Oreochromis niloticus: one gene and its partner. The protein of the gene in region 1 purifies or fractionates together with the protein of each later gene. This does not show direct contact. Links are inferred from orthologs where the notes say so. Each region holds a gene or a part of one and is shown on either strand. Other genes may lie near its edges.

The links. The genes of interacting proteins can lie anywhere in the genome.
Region 2: the proteins of tsen15 (region 1) and tsen54 purify together in Homo sapiens (affinity purification with mass spectrometry; 4 studies listed by BioGRID and IntAct, counting the BioPlex papers as one, with this or other methods). This does not show direct contact. The link is inferred for Oreochromis niloticus from reciprocal best matches to the Homo sapiens genes TSEN15 and TSEN54.

What each region holds. Positions count from the first base shown.
Region 1 is NC_031982.2:10,348,255-10,355,764, reverse strand, and holds tsen15 (tRNA-splicing endonuclease subunit Sen15), read right to left. Parts: upstream 2,913-7,510; 5' UTR 2,759-2,912; coding exon 2,696-2,758; intron 2,609-2,695; coding exon 2,527-2,608; intron 2,366-2,526; coding exon 2,230-2,365; intron 2,134-2,229; coding exon 1,962-2,133; 3' UTR 938-1,961; downstream 1-937. UniProt on the Homo sapiens protein: Non-catalytic subunit of the tRNA-splicing endonuclease complex, a complex responsible for identification and cleavage of the splice sites in pre-tRNA. It cleaves pre-tRNA at the 5' and 3' splice sites to release the intron.
Region 2 is NC_031969.2:32,227,398-32,234,741, reverse strand, and holds the start of tsen54 (tRNA-splicing endonuclease subunit Sen54), read left to right. Parts: upstream 1-4,096; 5' UTR 4,097-4,222; coding exon 4,223-4,338; intron 4,339-7,344.

The DNA of each region.
Region 1 (7,510 bases):
TGTGCTGGTATGCTGTTTGGTTTTCAGCAATGCATGGAAAGTGGAAAAATATCTCCACTTTGGCTTCATCTGTTCGGAGGACATTGTTCCCCAAGTCTTGTGTTTGTTCAGATGGAGCTGTGCTGGCATGTTCTTTCAAAGTGAGCAGGTCTTCTCCTGATAACCTTTCCAAACAGGCCATAATGGCTCCGTCTGTTTCTAACTTTGATGTCATGAAGTTTAACATTTAACATGCTGACACTGATGTAGAGTCTGAGATTGCACGGTCTTAGTTTACTGAGATGTCCACTACTGAGACGATCGCATCATTATCTTTCTCACAGGAGGAGGATGGACATCAAAGTGTTTTAAAGGGCTTTGTAACTCTTCCCAGATTGATGAGCAGCAATAATTACTTATTTAATATCACTGCTGACATCTTTCATCCTTTGTGCTGAAAAATATCATCAGTGCTCTCTGGTGGACACAAAATTTAATGGCCTCAATTTCAAAATGATTGCAAGCACAACTTCTGCTTGTTGAATTATTGGCAAACACACTATATACACCAACACAGGTATCTCTGCACTGCACTCCAAAATTAATAAAAGAACGTTTTAACGATTTTTTTGGTACTTATAAAGTCTACAAACTGAAGCGGGAAACAATTTGCAACTTTTATCGACAAGCTGAGTTAGTTGGCGTGCTAACTCAGACCTTCGTCAGCAGCCATTTTTGAAACAGGTGTTACTAATCACATTAATCAAAGCTCTGCATTTAGTAACACCTGTTTACTTACCATTTCCAGCCAAAATGCCTGCTGTGGAAAAACACCTTTAACATTCATAACATCCCTCAAATCATACTTCAGCATTGGCACCAAGTTTTTAAAAAATAAAGCAATGTTTACCTTAGGTCCTTTTTTTTAAAAAATTAAGAAAGAATACATTTTGAACTATTAGTCTTTCTCACACCTGATGTTTATTTCAAAATAAGGCACATTTGTTTTTTTACAATAAATAAAACAATCACTGACATTTATAATAGGTCTTAATAATTGTGTTTAAGGGATTCATGTCAAAAACCAATGTGTTGACATGGATTATAAACCATAGGCGTAAATTTCAGGGGGACACGTGCACACAGCCTCCCCCAAAATATTAGACTTGAGACACTATCCCCTTGTGTCTACTTTCTGCGTTGCTTTTTAGACAAACAAGAGACATTTCCCTCATGAACAAATGCAGAAAAGGTACAAAATGAAAATAATGAAATGAAGTGTCTGATCTAACCCACTGGACAGCTTCGGAAAAATCAAAGGAGTGCATAGATTATGAACTTTTAGCTGTATCTTCATTAGTGTTACAGCTTTGCCATTCACACCACAAATGACAGATAAGTTCCTGTTTTCCTACAATCTACTATAGAAATGTCTGTTTTTGTTTTACAACAAACAAAGATCATTTTCCTTAAATTAACAAAGACTTTATATTTCAGAATTGCAGGACAGTCTGGGTAATGAACTACCTTTTCAGGAACTACTTTTCCTGTAATTTTTCACATTTATCATATATATATTCACTGGCTTCGTAGCTGTAAGTTTTGTGGATGCAGACTCATCTGGCCCCATTGAAAGGTTTCTATGGAGGCATGGAAACGAGATATGGCATCCCTGATTTCATTGTGAAAGCTTCTAGTCAACTCTGTAGTGTGCATACACTGCAGCAAACAAACCACACCACTCCAGATTGTAACAGGAGTTCAACTGTCATTAAAAAAGGAATGTTACTTCTAATCTCTGCACCCTTTTCTTAAGGTTAATTTTATCTCTTTGCCTTAACCTATCAACATGCATCTGAGGTGAACTTCACGATGCCAAAGGTCTCCGCAAGGTCGTCCTAACAATCACATACTCCCGCTTAAGGGGTCCTGTGGGGCTGTTTTCCATTTTTGAGCAATACATCACATTCTCAGTCAGCTGCTCAGCGCTGCTGCCGTCTCTTCCGGTGCTGACGGCGTCCCACATCCTGAAAAGGTCCTACAGGAGGGTCCGGCGTCACCAGGCCGTCAGTCATCCTCTGGTAGACCAGCGTGGAGTCAGCGGCTACTGCACACAGCAGCATAGGAAAGCCTCTGTCCAGGACGTGTCGTATGCTGCACAGCAGAAAAGGAAGAAGCCGTAAGACTCAGAGGTTTGGGAGGGTAACCTGTGAGGGTGAAAGTGTGGGAGCTTGACCAGCGTCTTAACACCTTTTGTGAGTCACAGACTGGTGAGCAGGCAGGGGAAGGATCGTCAGAGTGGGTGCGCCTTCCTTCTCCCTCGCTTCCAGTAAAACCACCTGCAGCTCAGGACTCTTCACGCAGGACACCTCCTTCCAGCGCCGCACTGCAGAGAGCAAGCTCAGTGTGAGTATGAGCTTAAGTTATGACATCAAGTTTTTCCTTCTGTAAGAAAGGAGGAAGAGCTGGGAGATGTAAGGAGTCCAGGATACACCACACAGGGAATCTCAAACTGACTCCCGTGTTTCAGAACCCTGCCAAACTCACCCTCAGTAAGATCCATGTACACAAGAAAAGCTGCATGCACCTGAGCGCTGTCCCCAACCTGCAGGTCCTTCATCTGCTGGTACTGAGAGACACACACACACACAGATTACTCACAGTACATTCCGGGCAGACTCCCTGCCTGCACACACGGAGCTGCTCTAACACTCACCGCGGGATGCTGCAGGATCCAGTTCGGAGGAGGGCGTTTCTCTCCGCCTGACGCTCCCGACATGTTCGTTACCAAACAAAGCTGCAAGCGAAACACCGGCTCAATAACCACTACGTGACGCCATGCTGTTGAAACGGCACGCTGTCACCCAGTGCGACTGTTAAAATCGTCCGTGCGGAAACGTTTTTGTTGTCCGTGCAAAACACGTACGCAGACAGGAGACATCACCTTTCGGGGGCTTTTTTTTTTTTTTTTTTTTTTTTAAGTCAATCATTTCTTTTCATCATGCTAGTCCTAAAATTAACTTATAGGTAAATACTGGGCAAAGGTTTTGAGCCACACATCATTTCTTTGTATTTTGCTTCCGAGGAGACTGCCTCTCCTATTATTTTTAAAGTGGTCCTAACAATACTTCTCCAGACTCTGAAAAAAATAGGAGTTTTTATTTAATTTAATTTGATTTTATGTATGTTTGCAAAATATAAAAAGATGAGTGGTGACTCGGGAGTTTTGCTCAGTACTCTATGCACTAAATTAGTTCCTGCATCGTTATAATTACTTTTTACTGACATCTAATGAACTGCTTCCACCAACTGATCTTATATAAAAGAAAGAAAGAATACAAAACTGCATTTACAGCTGCCTGATGACTTTATTCATTTTAGCGAGACATTGTCTCATCAAAAAATAATAAACAGTAACATTAATGTCGATGTTTAATTTGCAGACTCGCAAAGCCTGGGATCTTTAGATATATGAGCGCCACTGCAACAAACACTATTAGAGACATTATTGTTCAGTTAAATGACCTGGAGCCTCTCATCCACACACTGACAGAGACATTACTGTAATTCTACATAATGTGATTGACTCCATAACCAGAGTCTATATTCAGTCTTTGATCACTTTTTTATTGAATCATATTTTGTCATTTTTGTTTTCGCAGTCGGAGCCCATGCATCGCTCCTGTGTCACTTGCTCTCTCTTCACCCTTTCCTCTACCCAATAAATTCTCCTGAAACCAAGAACCTGTGCTTAAAAAATAGATTTACTGTATTCCGGTGTTTAATGTCAGTTGTGTGTCCAATTCACAGGTTACAGTTCTACGAATACTTCACCTTAAAAACAAAAATCCAACAACATTTAATGACATCATTTAAGGCTGGGGAAAAGCTTTCCGGTTATGATGCACTATTTTGCTGACCAGCCATTTATTCGCCTGAAATCTGAAACCAGTCTTAGACCAAAGGGAGAGGATGTCATCCATAGCATTAATGCTACACTGACAGCTGCGAACGGCAAGTGTGACATTTGAAAATCTCATAATATTTTATCCATAATAGTAAAAATGCCCACAAGATTTCTGGACTCTGATGAAACTGGTACCAGTTGGAAGTTTTACTGACAGTTTGAAACTGGGTGCTGATGAGTTAAGTTCCAGAGGAGCACAGAGCTCAATCACTGGCTGGAAGGTGAAGCTTGAGAAGTTCTAGTGCATATTGTCATACTGCTGGAAAGTTCGGCCTTCTTGTAGGTAGTGAAGAGCCTATGAATCTGAGAAATGCAGATTCATAGTATAAGAATCTTTTGAGATAATTCTGTTATGATCATTTGTGTGCTGGAAAAGCCATTAAAATATGTTTTGAAAAATGTATTTGCTTGCTTGCATTTTTCACAGTCCTCCTCTCAGCTGTAGGCTGTGGCTATAGACATTCAGACTGTGACTATAGATGAGGTTGTCTGCTTCCTCTGACACTGCAACATCTGGAAGCATGTGCAGACTTAAACTGTGCACTGAGGACTTTCATTGTTAAAAACAACTTATCTATAGTGAACAGGAAGGACTTAAATTGATGATGGCTGTTGTCGCCCTCTAGGTGGTGCAGCAAAAACTGCAATAGGTGTGCCGTTCTTGCACCCCATCCATGCACACACACACACACACACACACACACACACACACACACACACACACACACACACACACACAGAGAGAGATATGAACTCTGAGGATGTTTACATGTGTCATGTTGAACTCGCTGCCTGGGCTGAGGCCCCATTTAACTCTACTCATTTCCTTTCCCGTGTGGTGTGTGATTTTTCTTCTGAGATGAAACGCTGTCTAGTCCCAGCTTTAGATATCAAGAAAAATAATATTTGTGTACAAACCTCCTGGAGTGTCGGTGTGAATACTTTTTAAAATGGGGACTAGAAAAGAAAAAAGAAAACGTTTAACAGCCATAATTATATAAACAGACCAGCTGATCCAGAGTCAAGTCAGAAGTTGTTTGAGGACTTCCTAGTAATCCTGGCTTCCACACCTCAAGACTGGCAAATAATAGTGTATCAGTTTTTCCAAAATAAAGTTTGTTTAGGAACAATACATTGTGTGTAGCCATGATTAAACATCCAGCCAAGTTTAAGTGATAAATGCCTGGAAGTGCTCCTCAGAGTTAACATGCAGGAACATATGGCAATGTAGAAGAGTGGCTGTCAAGAAGTCATTCTTAAGGAAGGAAAACAGGGAAAAAGGCCGAGGTATGCCAAATTGCACAATAACTGGTCTGGAAATCAGTGGGAACAGGTGTGATGGAGAGATTACTCTAAATTTACAAGTTTTGGTTGAAACCATTGTCATTATGTATCGAGGAGGCCAGGAGAGAGCTACAACAGTGGGTGTCTACAGCCGTCTGTAAAACACGGTGGAGGGTCTGTCATGGTTTAGAGCTGCGTTTCAGCCAGTACTGTTGGAGACCTTGTTAAAATTGGTGGACTTATGAATGCAGAAAACTTTTTAAGGTTGACGCTGACAGAAACTGAGAGACTATATATAACCTACATTCAACATCTGTTAGAGCTATAATGGAAAAGGAAACAATGGGACTTTTTTTTTTTTTTTAAACTATCTTTACAATCATGTACTTCACAAACTGATTTGAAACTTACTGTGAACGCACCAAACTCTGTGTGTTCAGGTGTGACGTGTCCTCTGCTGCAAAAGTGCTGAGTGCTGAGTGCATTGTACATTATGGAGTCAGTAACCTGGCCCAACCTATATTTGTGTGGGGCTCTAATTATGGGATAGTGATAATATATAGCATCATAGTTTCATTTCATGCTATGTAAATATCCACTTATAGGGAGAGAAGTATCTTTATTAAAACATGAATTCCAAGTCTATTATTTTCTGTTTTATTTAATCTGGTGTGATAACTGTAGTAATGACAGTCCGTTAGTTTTATTAGATCATGGCAAGAAACATATCTGTTATAGATGCTGTGTTATAGAAGTCTGTTATAAGGCCATTAAATATAAAATCAGTAGTTAAAGGAAGCAGATTTTTTTTTTCATGGTGGCAACACTATGAAAATGCATTATTGAAATGAACTATGCCAATTCAAGAGAAAAAGCTCTGTTAGAGACAAGAAGGAGTCCTTGATCAGATACTACAACTCCTCTGCTGACAGTAACACCACATTTAATACCACGTTCAAATGCCATGTTAGCTAAAGCACTGAGTCACGGGAGGTAACAGTGCTTTGCTTAAAGCCACCCGAACTATGACCTTTAATTGAGGTTTCTGCTCATTGAAATGGTTGACATTTCATAAAGTATGACATGCTTTGAAAACCTTCAGGGAAATACTACAGTCATATACTACTGTTATTAACTCATTGATTAGCATGCCTATTAGCATATTAAGCTATGATTTTAAGTGTAGTGGAAAGTAGTTTTAGCATCATAGTTTTTGAGAAGTTATTGCTACATTTGTGTTGTGTTGCAGTTTATTTATATCATAAAGATAAAGGTTTAACAAATCTGCTGAATAACCTGAAAAAAAACATTCTGTAATTACAAATGTGCACGAGTTTGTATACAATACATGGACTGTATGTAGGTCTGTGTATGTAGATGGAGTTATGATATATTCAAAGTGAGCATCAGAATGGGGAGGAAAGGTGACTTAGATGACTTTGAACATGGCATAGTTGCTGGTGCTGGATGGTCTGTCTGAGTATTTCACAAACCGCTAATCGGCCGGGATTTTCCCCACACAACCATCTCTATGGTTTACAGAGAAGAAGAAAATATCCAGTGAGCTGCAGTTTGCCCAGCGAAAATGCCTCATTGATGCTAGAGGTCGGAAGAGAATGGCTTTGAGCTGATAAGAAGGTAACATTAACTCAAACAAGCATTTGTTCAAGTCTGCGAGAGAGCATCTCTGAAAGCACAGCACATTGAACCTTGATGGGCAACAGCAGCAGAAGACCACAGCAGTTGTCACTCCTGTCAGCCGAGAACAAAAAATTGAGGCTGAAAATTACACAGACTCACCAAAATTGGATAAAAATTAGAAAAACATTGCGTTGTGTGTTGAGTGTCAATTTGTGCTGTGATATTTGGATAGTAGCTTTTGGCATAACCAACACAAAAGCATGGATGCATCACGTCTTGTATCAACAATTCAGGCTGGTGATATTTTCTTGGCATACTTCGGGGTACAAACTGTGCCTTGTATGAACACCACAGCCTACTTGCCAAAAATCCATCCCTTTATGGCCACGGTGTTTCCATCTTCTGCTGGAACAGAATGTCATAAATACTCTCAAACTTGTTTCTTGAACAATCTTGAGTCGAGTTCACCGCATTCAAATATCCCCGACGGTTAACAAACCTCAGTCCATTAGAGCACCTTTGGGATGTGGTGAACCAGGAGACTTTCATCACAGATATGCAGCCAACAAATCTGCAGCTCAATTCAGTTCTATTCAATTCATATAGCGCAAAATCACAACAGAGGTCATTTCAAGGTGT
Region 2 (7,344 bases), on another chromosome or scaffold:
CTTGACTATTGTAATGCACTTTATGTTGGAGTCGGCCAAACATCTATTGCACGTCTTCAGCTCATTCAAAATGCTGCTGCCTGCCTCTTAACTGGTACCTGCAGGCATGAACATGTAACACCTATCCTGTCCTCTCTTCATTGGCTTCCTGTTCATGACAGAATTAATTTTAAAATCCTAACGCTGGTTTAGAAATGCCTAAATGATCTTGCTCTCCCATACCTTTCCGAGTTACTTCAGCCATATATTCCTTCGCGGACCCTCAGATCAGATGAGCTGCTGTTGGTTGTCCCAAAATCTAGGCTAAAGCGTAGAGGAGAATGAGCCTTTTCAATTATGGCTCCCAGACTTTGGAATATGCTGCCTTTAAATATTAGACAGGCATCTTCATTCCAGTTTTCAAGTCACTTTTGAAAACTCACCTTTTTTCGATAGCGTTTAGACTGGTGTGAGTTGATATGTTTATTAGAGTTGGATGTCTCAAGACCCTTCTTGGTCTTGAGACCGGTCTCGAGACCACTTTTACATGGTCTCGGTCTTGTCTTGGTCTCGCTGTCTCAGTCTTGTTGTCTCAGATCAACATAGTGGTCGGGAGATTTGGAGTCAACAGTATCCATGACACACAACGTAACGTTCGATAATGTGTCATGCGCAAAGCATCAGCTCTAAGAGCCGTGCTTAGAGAGCGCTTTGTAATGAATCAGAAGTGTCGACTCCCATTGAGCGAGAGCCGGCTCCTCACTTAATTTCCTTTGGCTGCTCAGCTCTCACACAGTGGCTCAGCTGTGCTCCAATCCCTCCATATTGTGGCCAATCACATGCAAGGATATAGGATAATATCATTATGTGAAAAACAGAGAGGGTGATGGACGCGACAGTCAAGTGGAGCGTGCGTCTGTCCTCTCAGTACGTGAGTCAGCCAGTAGACAGCGGTGAGGAGGGCTGTGTGAGTGCATCGCAAAAACACATAAATATGCCTGACACCCGTAAACGAGGCAGCATCTGGCTGCAGTTTAAAGACTTTTTTTGTCTCGGTCTCGTCTCGACTTTGTCTTGGTCTTGACTCGGTCTGTCTTGGTCTCGATACCCTCTGGTCTTGGTATTGTCTTGGTCTTGGTTTAGGCGGTCTTGACTACAAGTCTAATGTTTATTATGTGTATTATTATGTGTTTATGTGAGTGTCAGTGTTTTTTATCTTGTGTTTTACCCCTTTGTTTCTGTACAGCACTTTAGGCTAACTTTCTGTTTTTAAATGTGCTACATAAATAAAATGGATTTGGATCTGTCTGGTCAGACTCAAACGCAAAACTCAGTAGTGCAAGTTTAGAGATTTAGTTATAATGCAGGTGAGGGTTGTGCTATTTACAGTCTTTCAGCAGTTTTTAGTTCAAAAGCTTCTTATTTACAAAATCCAACAAAGGAGCGTTTCCAAAACTGATGGGAACCACTGGGATGTCTTAAACAGAGGACAAGACACATTAGAAATCTTTGTGATGACAACAAGGACCACGACGTGCAGATCAGTGAGGAGATCTCTACCACAGTGAAACAAAGCTCAGGCAAAGACTGAATGTCACATCCCAGCATAGTCAGCTGTTTGCCAGATGTTTTGCAGGTGTTTTGCTTCAGGTGTGTCAGGGAGAGGGCAGAGATCCCACCAGCATTCTCGCCCTGTAAGGTAAAGCAGGGTAAGTAGACACACACACACAGAGCAATAAGCACACATACCAAGAGGGAGAGAGAGAAAAAGACATGGTGTATCTTATGTACTAACGGTGTATATATAAGTTTGACTATATATGGAACATAGATATATGTAATTATGTAGCAAAGACAAAAAATGATAAATAACTCTAAATATGTTTTATATTTTAGATTCCACCCTTTGCTTTGTTGACAGTGCTGCAAACCCTTGGCCTTGTCTAAATGAGCTCCATGATGTAGTTACTTGAAATGGTTTCACTTCACAGCTGTGCCTTGTCAGGGTTCATTCGTGGAATTTCTTGCCTTCTTAATGAGGTTACGCCATAGGTTCCGTTGTGCAGAAGTCAGGTTGGTAGCTGACAGCCCTATTTGACAACTGTCAGAATTCATATGGCAAGAACCAGGCAGCTAAGTAAAGAAAAATGACAGTCCTTCATTACTTAAAGAACTGAAAGTCAGTCAGTTCAGAAAATTGCTAAAACTTTGAATGTGTCCCCAGTTCCACATAGAGTTCCAGTAGCAGACACATCTCTACATCAGGCCTTTATGCTCAAATAGCTGCTAAGAAACCACGACTAAGGAAAAGCAACAAGCAGAAGAGATTTGTTTGGGCCAAGAAACACAAGGAATGGACATTAGACCAGTGGAAATCTGTGCTTTGGTCTGATGAACCAAATTTGAGATCTTTGGTTCCACCCGTGTCTTTGTGCAACACAGAAAAGGTAAACAGATGGTCTCTACATGCATGGTTCCCATCGTGAAGCATGGAGGAGGAGGTGTGATGGTGTAGGGGTGCTTTGTTGGTGACACTAGTGGGGGTTTATTCAAAGTTGAAGGCACACTGATCCAGCATGGCTACAACAGCATCCTGCAGTGACATGCCAACAGATCCAGTTTACGTTTAGTTGGACCATCATTTATTTTTCAATAGCACAATGACCCCAAACACACCTCCAGGCTGTGTGAGGGCTATTTGACCAAGAAGGAGAGTGATGGAGGGCTGCGTCAGATGGCCTGGCCTCCACAGTCACCTGACCTAAACTCAGTTGAGATGGTTTGGGATGAGATGGACCACAGAGTGAAGGCAAACGAGCCAACAAGTGCTCAGCATCTCTGGGAACTCATTCAGGACTGTTGGAAAACCATTTCAGGTGAAGGAGTGTGCAAAACAGTAATCAAAGCGAAGGGTGGCTATTTTGATGAATCTGAAATATAAAACGTGTTATGAGTTATTTCACACTTTTTTGTTTACTATATAATTCCATATATGCTCATTCACAGTTTTAAGCCTTCAGTGAAAATTTACAATGTAAATAGTCATGAAAAGAAGGTGTGTCTAAACTTTTGACTGGTAGAGAACTTGAGTGGAGTTAATTTAGAATTAACGCTACCTGGGCACACGTTTGGCTTGGTGGGTGAGCAGGCAATCTACTGCAGAAAGCAGCAGCCCCCTGCTGACCTTTAGGAAGAAAAACACATTACACACAAATGTATTGGCTTCTTTTCTTGGGAGACACAAGTGTTTTAAATTTTATCTTGAAGTCGTTTTTCCAAATATTTTGAATAGTTTGTTCGGATTTCGCCTGTCATTTCCAGGTTAAAGCTCTCTCCTGTTTCATTTCAAAAGGGTGTACATGAATTAACTGCCAGGGTGAATTGCCAAATGGCATCAACTGGCAAGACTTGCTTCCTGATGCCCTGTACAAGGACTTTGATTGGTAGCTTGAAGTGGGCTGCATTATTTACTGGCAGGACTGGATCATATCACATGTCAAATGGGCAAACAAACCAAAATAGGGATGAATGCCACTGTTTCCAGCAACAGACAGTAACAGACAGATTTGTAGAAAGCAAACATCTGTTGAGCAAAAAATAAACATGTTTCAAGGTTAGATGTTAAAGAAATTGTCACGTACAGCAGCAAAAGTTTGAGGTCAACACACACAGAAACACACATGATAACACAAATATCAAACTATTAAAATATTAAATATATAAAATTCCATGGAAGACAAAACAAGATTATAATAAGATTAATGCACACAAGACTGAGTAGTCAAAATCCAGTTTTTCAGATAAGCAACAAGCAAGAAGATACCTGCCACAGTGAAACAAAGCTCAGGCAAAGACTGAATGTCACATCCCAGCATAGTCAGCTGTTTGCCAGATGTTTTGCAGGTGTTTTGCTTCAGGTGTGTCAGGGAGAGGGCAGAGATCCCACCAGCATTCTCGCCCTGTAAGGTAAGGCAGGGTAAGTAGACACACACACACACACACACACAGCAATAAGCATAAGCACACACACACACACAGAGCAATAAGCATAAGCACACATACCAAGAGGGAGAGAGAGAGAGAGTATTTATGCCTGATCCAATTTTCTGCCTTCTTGTGGGACCCTTTGGTTTGTTTTGGCCTGAACAAATCAAGTATTCTGGAAAAAAAAAACCTTCCCTGATTTTAAACTGTGCTTTATTTTTAAGCCCTTTGGCGCCCTCTGATGGCCACTTTATAACTGATGAATATGACGGTCACTAGGACCCAGAGGAGCGCTGCAGTAGCAGGGAGACCCGGCATCATGGCGGATCAAAACAACACAGACGATAAAGGGAAGTTCTACAGTGAAATTTTAAGGTGTGTTTTTACCTTTAACGGTACCTGTGAGCGGGCTTATTCGCAGGGTAGCGGTATTTTCTCTGGTGTTCTCCCTCAGCGTCTGTTTGTCATTGAATCACTGTGGTCGGAACTCTCAGAGTTCTTGTGCACATGGTAGCACGGGTTAGTTTAAAGCTAATTGTTATCTTCAACGCGAATACGTGCTGAAGAGAAAACGCCTATAGTTTCATTAAAACGCACTGACGAAGCTGCACAGCTGTTTCCAGAGAAACACTGTTACTGAAATATTATCTGGACACGTTTTCTGAAATATTGACACTCTGTATTCGGCTCTCTGTCTCCCTCTGTTGTGTGTTTTGGTAAAAACAGCCGTGGGAGAGAGAGAAAGCATTAGGAAAGTTAGGAATTAAGTAACAGTAAAATATTTTTTGGAAGTCTGCTGTTTTTGTTTTTCTGCACACAGACAAAGCATCAGGGTGGAGTCCTTTTAAAACAAGTCTGGGCGAGATCCCGTGGCACTGAGTCACGACTTTATGACTCAGGATGGCACTTTAATTACACGCAGATGGACTTCATAAGTGATACTAACGTTATACACCAACATGCAAAGCCTGGAAAGTATGCCAGTAACTTGGGGACTGCTGCTTTCTTGTCATGATAATCTTTCACATCGATGCAGCTTTGCTAGAAAGATAAACAAGTTTTACAGTTACCTAAAACTCAGGTATGAACTGAACGTGGGCAAGAAAAATCACTTTAGTTAAATGAAACACAAATAAACTACAACAACCTGTGCAGCTCAAAATGCTTCAGATAACTGAGAAACAGAAACGGAACAAATTAGACAGCGAAACAAGTAACATGCAGTTCTTAGCAATGTAATGTACACAAAATAAAAGCTAAAAGCTGCTTTTTGGGACCCACGGGCCTGTCATGATTCGTAGCCTGGCACCATGTGAGACAAATATGATGTACAGAGACTAAGAAGTGCCTTAAAAACAGCTAAAAGGATTCTAAAGTCATTGCACAAACTAGCAGGCAGCCAGCATGTTGTAAAACTGGTGTTACGGTGCGTTCACGCGATAGAGGCGGCCAGAGCGTCAGGTTTACATGTAAAGTCAGTGGAAAGAGCGCGATGACACGCGATTGCGCGTCCGGTGAAAATTCGGAAGCAGATTTGCGTCGCGAAAACGCCTGAAACGCCTGAAACGCGCGTCAGTGTACCACGTGGGGCGCGTTTGGCTCGCGAAGAAAACCACGCGTGTCAGATTGTGTGTTGCATTTTGTGCACACGTGCGTATCGCGCCAACCGCTGGAGTTGGAAAATCTGAACTCCGGCGTCAAATCGCGCCGCAACAACCAATCAGGAGGCTGGTGATGTGGCTGTGACCTAGGTACTGACGCGCACTGTCCCGCTATTTTCCCACTGATGTACAAATACCTTTCCGCCAACAAGATAATGTGTTTATTCAGAGGACATCTGCAGGAGAAAGTGGAAGAGCCTCAGGGACACATATAATAAGGAGAAGAGGAGTGGGTCTGCAGCAGGATCGGGGAAGAGATGGAAGTTCTTCGCGGTCATGGGGTTTCTGGACCCCTTCCTCACCCCGCGGGAGACTAGCGGCAATATGGTGCGGACCGTGGAGAACTTCCCCCCCCGAGGACCAGGGACAGCCCGGAGAGGCAGCAGGGGAGTGTCAGTCAGAAGGACAAGGTTTACAGTGAATTAATGTAGGCAGTTAATTTATGCGTGTTGTCATATAGGAATATATTTTGTTTATTAATAAAACAGTATACAGTGGTCCCGCTGTTCACCCGTCACATTTCGCTGATTTTTGTTATTGCACCGTACAGCTTTCAACAATGCGCATTGCATTCTGCAGCCTGATTGACAAATCTCCTCCGTGCTGTGTCTCCTGCGCTTGCCAAACTTATCATGTTTGGTTTTGATAACCATCACGTCCAATAGAAAAAACAGCACAAAAACACTCATAACTATGACCCTCATTCGGAGATACACACCTGCACCGCGAGGGAAAAAGGCGCACGAAAGTGGCGCGCAGACGGAGAAAAAGCACAGCATAATAAAACTTCCTCCCACATTTCCAGTTCACGCGCGTCAAAATATGCAATTTTGACGCGCGATGGATTTTTCTTGGACACACATTGAGGTGCGAATGTGCACGCGTCAAATTTGGGGCGTTTTCGCTCGCGCCAATCGGCGTTCGGTGTGAACGCACCGTTACGGTGCGCACACACCGAACGCGATAGAGGCGGCCAGAGCGTCAGGTGTACATGTAAAGTCAATGGAAAGAGCGCGATGACACGCGATTGCGCATCCGGCGAACATGCGGAAGCAGATTTGCGTCGCGAAAACGCCAAAACCCGTAAAACGCGCGTCAGTGTACTGCGTGGGGCGCGTTTGACTCGCGAAGAAAACCATGCGTGTCAGATTGTGTGTTGCATTTTGTGCACACACCCGTACCGCGCCAACCGCTGGAGTTGGAAAATATGAACTCCGGCGTCATAAACACATCAGTGTTTATTCAGTGTCCTCTGAATAAACACATTATCTTGTTAGCGGAAAGGTATTTGTACATCAGTGGGAAAATAGCGGGACAGTAGGCGGGCTTGCTACCTTTTGCGCGGCTTTATCGGGTCAGTCTGAAAATTAAAAAGGAGAATGAATGAACTTACCAGGTTGCCCGATCTCCTCACTTCTGTGCCTCCAAGCTCGGTCCTTTTTATTCCTGTCTCGGTAGAAGTAGCAGCTGGCATCATACAGCTCTGGGTGATTAGCCACGGCAGTGATGAGTTTTTCCTCCATACTGAATGAAGAATGAAGGGCTTTGGTTTGATCTGCCCCTGTGACCTGGTTACAGCCACGTCACCGGCCTCCTGATTGGTTGTCGGGCCGCGATTTGACGCCGGAGTTCAGATTTTCCAACTCCAGCGGTTGGCGCGGTACGGGCGTGTGCACAAAATGCAACACACAATCTGACACGCGTGGTTTTCTTCGCGAGT